2 linked regions of the Sus scrofa genome follow. The protein of the gene in region 2 purifies or fractionates together with the protein of the main gene of each other region. This does not show direct contact. Links are inferred from orthologs where the notes say so. Each region holds a gene or a part of one and is shown on either strand. Other genes may lie near its edges.

What was found. The genes of interacting proteins can lie anywhere in the genome.
Region 1: the proteins of RNF7 (region 2) and RAB40C purify together in Homo sapiens (co-immunoprecipitation; 4 studies listed by BioGRID and IntAct, with this or other methods). This does not show direct contact. The link is inferred for Sus scrofa from reciprocal best matches to the Homo sapiens genes RNF7 and RAB40C.

Annotation. Positions count from the first base shown.
Region 1 is NC_010445.4:41,157,292-41,161,336, forward strand, and holds the start of RAB40C (ras-related protein Rab-40C), read right to left. Parts: upstream 2,806-4,045; 5' UTR 2,617-2,805; coding exon of another isoform or gene 2,583-2,616; intron 2,543-2,582; exon of another isoform or gene 2,426-2,542; intron 1,853-2,425; 5' UTR 1,776-1,852; coding exon 1,634-1,775; intron 1-1,633. UniProt on the Homo sapiens protein: RAB40C small GTPase acts as substrate-recognition component of the ECS(RAB40C) E3 ubiquitin ligase complex which mediates the ubiquitination and subsequent proteasomal degradation of target proteins.
Region 2 is NC_010455.5:82,547,325-82,551,279, reverse strand, and holds the start of RNF7 (RING-box protein 2), read right to left. Parts: upstream 2,806-3,955; 5' UTR 2,661-2,805; coding exon 2,486-2,660; intron 1-2,485. UniProt on the Homo sapiens protein: Catalytic component of multiple cullin-5-RING E3 ubiquitin-protein ligase complexes (ECS complexes), which mediate the ubiquitination and subsequent proteasomal degradation of target proteins.

The DNA.
Region 1 (4,045 bases), on a different chromosome or scaffold from region 2:
TGCCGACACGATAAAAGGCCATGCAACGACTCCTGTGTCTACGAGGCTGGGGAGAGTCAGGTGTCCCAGGTACCTGCTGCGGAACAGGTGAGGCAAGACTTCAATGCGAGAAATAACTTGCCTGGCCCAAGGAAGGGTGTTGGATACACGCCCTTCAATGGGAAGGGACCTCCCTGCCACTGGTCATCTGCTCCTGGCCAGACTGACCCCGAAAGGTTAAGCCAAGCACAAGAAGCTCGGAGATGTACTGACTCTTAACAAGGAAAGAAAAAGATACACGCATCTGCCACAAGGGAATCAGAGATCAAAAGCTCCCCAAAAACACAAAGCAAATTCGAGATGCGCCGAACGCTGAGAACTAACTGCTCCAGTTAGGAAGCCTTCAGGGCAGCAGAATGAAGTACCCTCAGACCCACCCACCTCGCCCTGAGAAAGGGCACTGGCCCCGGAGCCTCCGAGCTGACGCCCTGACTGCATGTGCCACACATCGTAACCTCCAGGACCCTCGCCGCCCTGCCAGCCCAGGGGCTTCCGCACACTTCTGGCAGCTGGCCCTCCCGCTGGACCACCGTGCTTCTCCTCGGGCGGGACTCAACACGTCACGAGAAGAGCGGCAGCACACTGCCCCCGAGAGCAGGGACAGGAGGCCGGGCCACTCGCTCCAGCTGCCTCGCTGCGCCCGGCTGGAGGCAGCTCAGACCCAGGAGTCCTCGTCCTGGGAAGCCGCTGAGGCCCTGATGGAGCCCAGCCCCCCTTCAAAGCATCCCCATCTCTGGGAAAGCAGCTCAGGCGCCCACCCCCCGTCTGACTCCAGAGGACCGCTTGACTGTGGCGGGCAAGGGACCGACTCAGCCCCCCAAGGCCTCCCTCTCACACCCTTGGGGGCCTCACACTTCCTCGCCCTCCCTACAACACCACCCAGCGCTCCGGTGGGCTGGGCCCTCCAGACCCCTGCCCCTCGCTCCGTGCTTAGCAGGAAGGGCGCAGGGCCGGCCCAGGTAAGCCGACGACTCTGACGCGTCCTAAGGGGAGAAAGGGTCAAGAAGCACTGGCCACACGCTGGCGGCCAGAGCCCAGGAATTCAGCAAGCAGCGAAGGCTCACAGCAGTCAGGCAGGACTGACCAGACTCTGAGCGACAAAGCTACAGAGGAGGCGGAAGACCGGACTCCAAGGAGTAAAACTCCTCGCAAAGACGGCCCTTCCAGGAGCCCGACGGCCCCCCGGGGGACCCACGTCAACTGCGAGAAAAGAGAGGACCTCACACTGGTGCCAGAGACCTGTAGCTCTTGTGTGTTTTGGCTGCACGGCCAGAAACGTGGAAAGAACGTTTAACCCCGTCCGGATCGGGCGTTTTCGTCCAGCCCAAGGAAGGGATGCCTTGAGCCAACGGCCTGCTTTGAGGACGCCCAGCTGTGCACACCTGGCACACCTGGTGAGGCCCCGCGACCAAAGAAAAAGCCCTTCTTCCTCAGGAGTCCCTCGGCCAGATCTCTGCCCCCACGACGCCGCGGGCCCCAGAAGGGCCTCGACAAGCTCGAGCCGCAGCTCCCCCGCCCCGGCCCGAGACGCGAGGCGGACGGCAGGTCGCCGGGCGGAGCCAGGTGCGCGCGGCGGCCCGCCGGCCGGCCTTACCGTTGCTGTAGGCGTACGGAGACTCGGCTGCGCCGTCCTGCAGGCTCTCCAGGATCTCGCCCTTGCCCACGTCGCTGTCGCCCACCAGCAGGAACTTGAGCAGGTAGTCGTAGCTCTTGACTGGGCTGCCCTGCGTCCCCATCTTCGCTCACGCGCGCGCGGGCCGCACCCGCATGCCCACGGCGCCGCGGAGCCCGCTGGCGGAGGCCTCCGACCGACCTGCGTGCGCGGGCGCGGGTGAGCGAGGCCGGCGGACGGCAAGGCCGCTCCGCCCGCACCTGCTCCACCGCCCCCGCTTCGCTTCCCTTCGCCTCGCCTCAGCGCCGCCGCCGCCGCCCCGCAGCTTCCCGCACGGCGCCGAGCAGCCCCGCCACCCCGCCCCGCCCCGCGCGCCACCATTGGTCGTCCGCCGCACCCTTCCCGCGGCCATTGGCCGCTGCGCATATCCGTCAGCACTGCTAGCGCCCCTGCCCCCGCCCCCCCAGCTTCCCATACAGCGCTGCGAGACCTCGGGTCGTTCCTCCCCATCATTGCCCCGCCCCTACGCTGCTGCTGTACGTCGCACGCCGCCTCCCGCGCGGCCACTGGCCCGTGAGCACGTCCATCAAAGCTGCCCCGCCTCCATCGCTTCCCACTCAGTTCTGCGAAGACTCCAGTCGCCCCGCCCCGCCTTCACGCTGTTGCCATTGGCCCCTCGCCTCTCGCTTTCCGGGACCCTCTGATCCGCCTGCCTGTCCGTCAGCATTACGCCCCCCACCCCCCGCCGATTCCCGCAGAGCATCCGAGACTCACCGGCAAACCTGCCCACTGCCCCCGCAGCTCCTGGGCCCTAACACGCCCCCTCCGCTTCGCCATTGGCCACCGCAGCCGATCCTCCCAGAGCTACTGGACCACCTACACGTCGCTCATGGCCCTCTAAGCCCGCCCATCTTGCCCCCTATACGCTCACCAATCAGAAGCTTGGACCTCCAGGTTGTTTGCATACACCCCCTTACTTCCGCGGACTGAGCGGGACGGTGGCGGTCCCCGTTGTGAGGTGACGCGGGTGACTATGGCAGGGCTGAACCTCCTAGAAAGCTGCGGCCGCAGCTTCCGCAGAGACCCGGGCGCGTACAGTGCGGCCCCCCGGAAAGGCGCCCTCCCCACGGAGGGGGCGTGACGAGGGCGCAGTGAGACAAGATCCACCAATCGGCGCTCGGAGCGGCCGGGTAGACGGGACTTCCGTTCCCGCGCCGGGGGCGGGGCCGGGGGATGGTGAGGTGGGGGCGGGCGCCGGGTTTCTTGTGGGGAAGGTGGTGAGTGGGGGCGCGGGTGAGGGGCGGGGAGACGAGGCAGGGCGCGAGGGTAGGGACGGTGAAATGAGGCGGTGGCAGGAACTTGGAATTACCTGGGTCGGGGCGCAGGGGCAGCGAGGTGAGGCTTGGTTGCAGGCGGCGAGGCGGGGACTCCAGCGCAGCTCTGTCCCCGCCCCTCGCGTCTGCCCCGTTCCCTGGGCAAGTCTTGCAGGTGACAGCGCGGCTCTCAAGGCCGCTGCAGAAAGGGGGTCGGCCTGCATGTCGTCCTCTAGCCCCAGAGACGACGGCAGCACTGGCTGTGAGCCGCCCACCCTGGGAAGAGTCGGGGTCAGGCCAGGTGGGGCACCCAGGAGGGCCCAGGAAGAGGGTCCGGGGGAGCCTGTAGGAGGAAGTGACTTTGGGTTGTTTACAGAATGGATAGGTTATGAAAAGGTGTGAACAGTTGTGAAGATACAATTTTATTCTGCAAAATAGAAAGTAAAGCAAAATATACCCTCTTCACCCATTAGATTGGCAACATTACTTGTGGCACCTAGGATGTAGGGTGACAGCTCTCTGGCAGGGAGGTTGGACAACTTAGTAAGTAATTCCATATTTCATTTAGTCGGGAGAAGTTCTCAAAAACAAGCTCATGAATTTCACTGTTGGAGTTCCCACAGGGGGTTAAGAATCTGATTGCAGCTGCTTGGGTCTCTGGGGAGGAATGGGTTTGATCCCCAAACTGGCACAATGGGCGAAAGATCCCGCACTGCTGCAGCTCACAGCTGTGGCTCAGATTCAGTCCCTGGCCCAGGAACTTCCATGTGCCACAGGTGTGGCCATAAAATTTTTTTGGATTAAAAAATAAAGAATTTCACTCTAGGAGTTCCCCTTGCGGCACAGCGGAAAAGAATCCGACTAGGATCCATGAGGTTGTGGGTTCGATCCCTGGCCTTGCTCAGTGGGTTAAGGATCCGGTGTTGCCGTGAGCTGTGGTGTAGGTCACAGGCATGGCTCAGATCCTGCATTGCTGTGGCTCCTATTCAGCCACTAGCCTGGGAACCTCCATATGCTGTGGGTATCGCCCTAAGAAGAAAAAAAAAAAAAAACAAAGCTTGTGCGTGACTGTTCACAGCGT
Region 2 (3,955 bases):
AGGCCAGGGATCGAACCTCATGGTTCCTAGTCAGATTCGTTAACCACTGAGCCACAACGGGAACTCCAGCTCTCGCTCTTTATACCTCTACAGTACTAGCAAACCTATTCCCCTTTTCCTTGTCAGTGCTTGCTCACTGTGTCATTTGCTCCTTTCAGAATGAAGGGGGTGGGGGTGGGGAAGAGTGGAAACAAGGAAGTGTTAACTACATCAGAATGGGTGGACAGGTAAATCTTAGATCAAGAAGTCATAAAAATTTTGAAATAACCTACAATGGAAAAGAATCTGAAAAAAAAAGTGTGTGTGTGTGTGTATTTGAATCACTTTGCTGTACACCTGAAACACTTTTAATCAACTACAATAAATTTTTTTAAAAAAGAAGTCATAACAAATCATTTAGATGTATGAGATGAATTCTGAATTCCAAATATTAAGGAAGTGGGATTAGATAGGCTCTTTGTAGAATCTAAAAATCTCTGAATTATGCTTATAGCTTTGATTTAATTATTTAAAAAAAAAACAACTGACCTAAATGTATAAAAATTCCTAAAGTTTCAGATAAAAGAAAACATTTTTCCTTTGGTGATATTCCTAATATCTAAAACAGCACATTTCTAAGGAGTACAATAACAGTAACACCTTTAAGAATGACGCTACCCTAAGGATTGGCAAGTCTATAAAACTTCCTTCTGCCGTCACCTGACCACTAAGTGGATTTTAACACCTTATAATCAAAATATAGAGGTCTAGTCCAGAATACTTTCCTGAATCCAAAGTACAGCTGTTGTAAATCTGCAACATTAATCCACAGTAGCGGAATACTTGCTATAATTAGAAAGTTAATGTGCCTGTTAAGTCATTTAGAGCCCATACTTTGACCAGGAAGGTTTATTTGCTGCCAAATTTCAACCATTATTTAAAACTCTGCATTTCTATTTACAAATTTAAAATTTTTCCCTGGGGAGAAGAAGAAAATAACCTTTCAGAAAAACCTCTTTTTTTAATCACTTAGGGGATAAAATTTTTAACAAAGTTTTTTCTCATAAAAGAACAAAAATTGTTTGGATAAGTCAAAAATGCCACTCAAAGCAGAAATTATGATTTCAGTTTTTAAGTAAGGAGTAGGGTAAGGGGGCTGTATTGCAGGCCAATAAACAAGGTATTTTTAAAACCTAATATGCAAAACACGTGGATCATGTCTGAAATAAAATTCTTTTAAAAGTAAAAAAATAAATATATGATATCTCATTGTTGTAAATCTGCTTTTAAAATGAGTCCTTATTTTATGAATAAAAAACAAGAAAACATACTACAGAGAGGGTAAATGAAGAAACCTCTTGATTCTGGCAGTTCTGAATTTTCATTCCTCAAGAAGGGAGAGTGATTTTTTTTTTTTTTTTAGATTTTATTTTTTCTTTTATAGTTGATTTGGTTCCTAGTCGGATTCATTTCTGCTGCGCCACGAAGGGAACTCCTTATAGTTGATTTGAGAGCAATTTTTGAGTTATTTTCTCCAAAACTCTGATTTTTCGGTTTAAGATGTAAAAGCTTTCAAACTATAGAAACCTCGGTTTCATTTAAGATGCTCTCACAGTGATTTTAAATGCCCTATTAAAAAAAATAAGGATGCATTTAAACAGCATCTCTTTTTCAAGGTGTTCTGAGATCTTAGAACAGAAACCATATAAAATATAACAGGATGAAGCTGTCCCGAAAGGTTTCACTTGGTCCAATATTTTTAAAAAAATTTATAGAAAGAAGTGACTTATTTGTAAAAGAAAATTCTCCACAAAGGCCTATCAGGACACTGTCTTCTCCAGGAAATGGCATCCTTTGATAGCGTAGGGCCAGGAATGAGATTAAAATTTATGTTTCTGAATAAAGGGCTTAACATTCTTCTTCAAGACAAGCTACTGCCATCTGACCAGTCTTGAATCATCCAAGTTTTAAAGCCAGCAGAACAGTAGCTAATCCCGAAAGGCAACAGCTAGGGACACTTCTTTCCTGCGCCTCTCCGGAACAAGACTAAGAGTCATTACTGTGGAAGATGACTCCAGAGCATCACTCTGGTGTGTGAAAAGAAGCATTAAAACGACCCGCTGACTCAGGGCCTTGACCGTGACCTCTACAGTTTGCTTTTAGAAAAGGGTGGCGAGGTTGGGCCCACAAACCAAAGTGGTGCCTCGCAGCTCCCATCAACTCACCTACTTTTATTGTCTTGACCACACCCATCACTACCTGAAATTACCTTTTTAACTGCCCTGCTTTCCACCTGTTTCGTTCCCCAGACTACCAGTCCCCGTCGCCGGCCGCAGCCCTCCGACTAGCAGCAGCACGGGCGTGGCCCCAGTCTTTCGCTCCCAGGCAGGGCGACCCCGCCCCTATACCTCCAGGAACAGTCTCTCCGAGGCTCGGTGTGTCCCACGGGCCGGAGCTGGGCCCGCGGAGGCCGCAGCACAGCCAGGGTCTCGAGTGCAGCGCTTACCCATCACCTGGACCCTGCAGATGGCGCACGTATCGCACTCCACGTCCCAGCTCCACATGGCCACCGCGTTCCACTTCTTCAGAGAGAACATCTTGTCGCCTCCCGACTTGGTTCCTGAGCTACCGGAGTGAGAGGACAGGGCGCAGGGCTCCTCGCCGTCTTCCACGTCTGCCATGGCGGCGGCGCGAAGCCGGCGGCGGAGACGTTAGGTTGCGGAAGGCGGGCGACTATGGCGGCTCCCTGGGGCCCCTCGCCGGGCCACAGCGCCGCCCGCAGGCTGCGGGCCACCGTGGGGCCTACGACGGAGGCCGCCCGAGACTGGCTGGCGCGTCCCAGTGACGTCACCGCCCCCGCGCCCTGGGCCCGGCCCGCTCCGACTCTTTGGCCAAGAATGGGCGCCGCGCTCAGGAGGGTTGCCGGTGCAGGAAGCAGGTGTTCTGCTTTATGCCTTCGTGACCCTTCTGGCTCTCACAAGTTGTCATATTGATGTACTCCCTTCCTAAATGAAAACGCCATCGGAGCGAGGACGTGACTTGATCACCACCTTCTCCTGGGTATGTGAAAAATGCCTGGCCTCAGGAGGGGTAGTTATTTGTTGAGTGAATGAATGACTATCTTTTAGAAATCTGGTTCAGCCGTTCTCAAACTTTTTGGTCTTGGCACCCCTTTACACTTAAGAATCACTGGAACATTAAAGAACTTTCGGTTTGTAAAATATGTGTACACACAAACACACACTTTTTTTTTAAGAAATACGAAAAAAATTTTAATGTATTCACTTAAAAAATAACCATAGGAGTTCCTGTTGTGGTTAAGCGATGAGGAACCCGACTAGTATCTAGTATACATGAGAATGCAGGTTCAATCCCTGGCCTTGCTCAGTGGATCGGTGTTGTTGTGAGCTGTGGTGTAGGCTGGTAGCTGTATCCGATTCAGCCCCTAGCCTGGGAACTTCCATATGCCACAGGTGTGCCCCCACCCCCCGCCCCCGCAAGGAAAAGCAATAAACCCATTACAAGTAATCATTAGAACAAGGATATCACATATCTTGTAGCTTTTATAAAACTCCACTGTATACTCACAGGAGAAAGTGAAGAGAAATAGCGGTGAATATTGTTATGCAAATACTTTTGACCTTGTTTCCCCTGAAAGGATCCCAGGAACCCCCGGGGACCACACTCTGAGAACCTCTATCTAGTCCAACATCCTCCTTTTATTGATAGGAATGTTGAGGTCCAGAAAAATAAGATAAAGACACACCATTATTCCCTAAAGGTAACTGTTTTGAATCCAGGGTTCTTCTGCATCTAGCCCGGGGTCATATTATTATGTTTTCCCAAGCAAAGCAGATAACATCTCTATTTAAATAAGAAAGCTGTGGTATGGAGAGCCCACGAAGATGCCTGATCACCACTACCACCTAGTGGTGGACACCTGCTGTGTCGGGTTTGGAATTCAGAGCCTCCCACC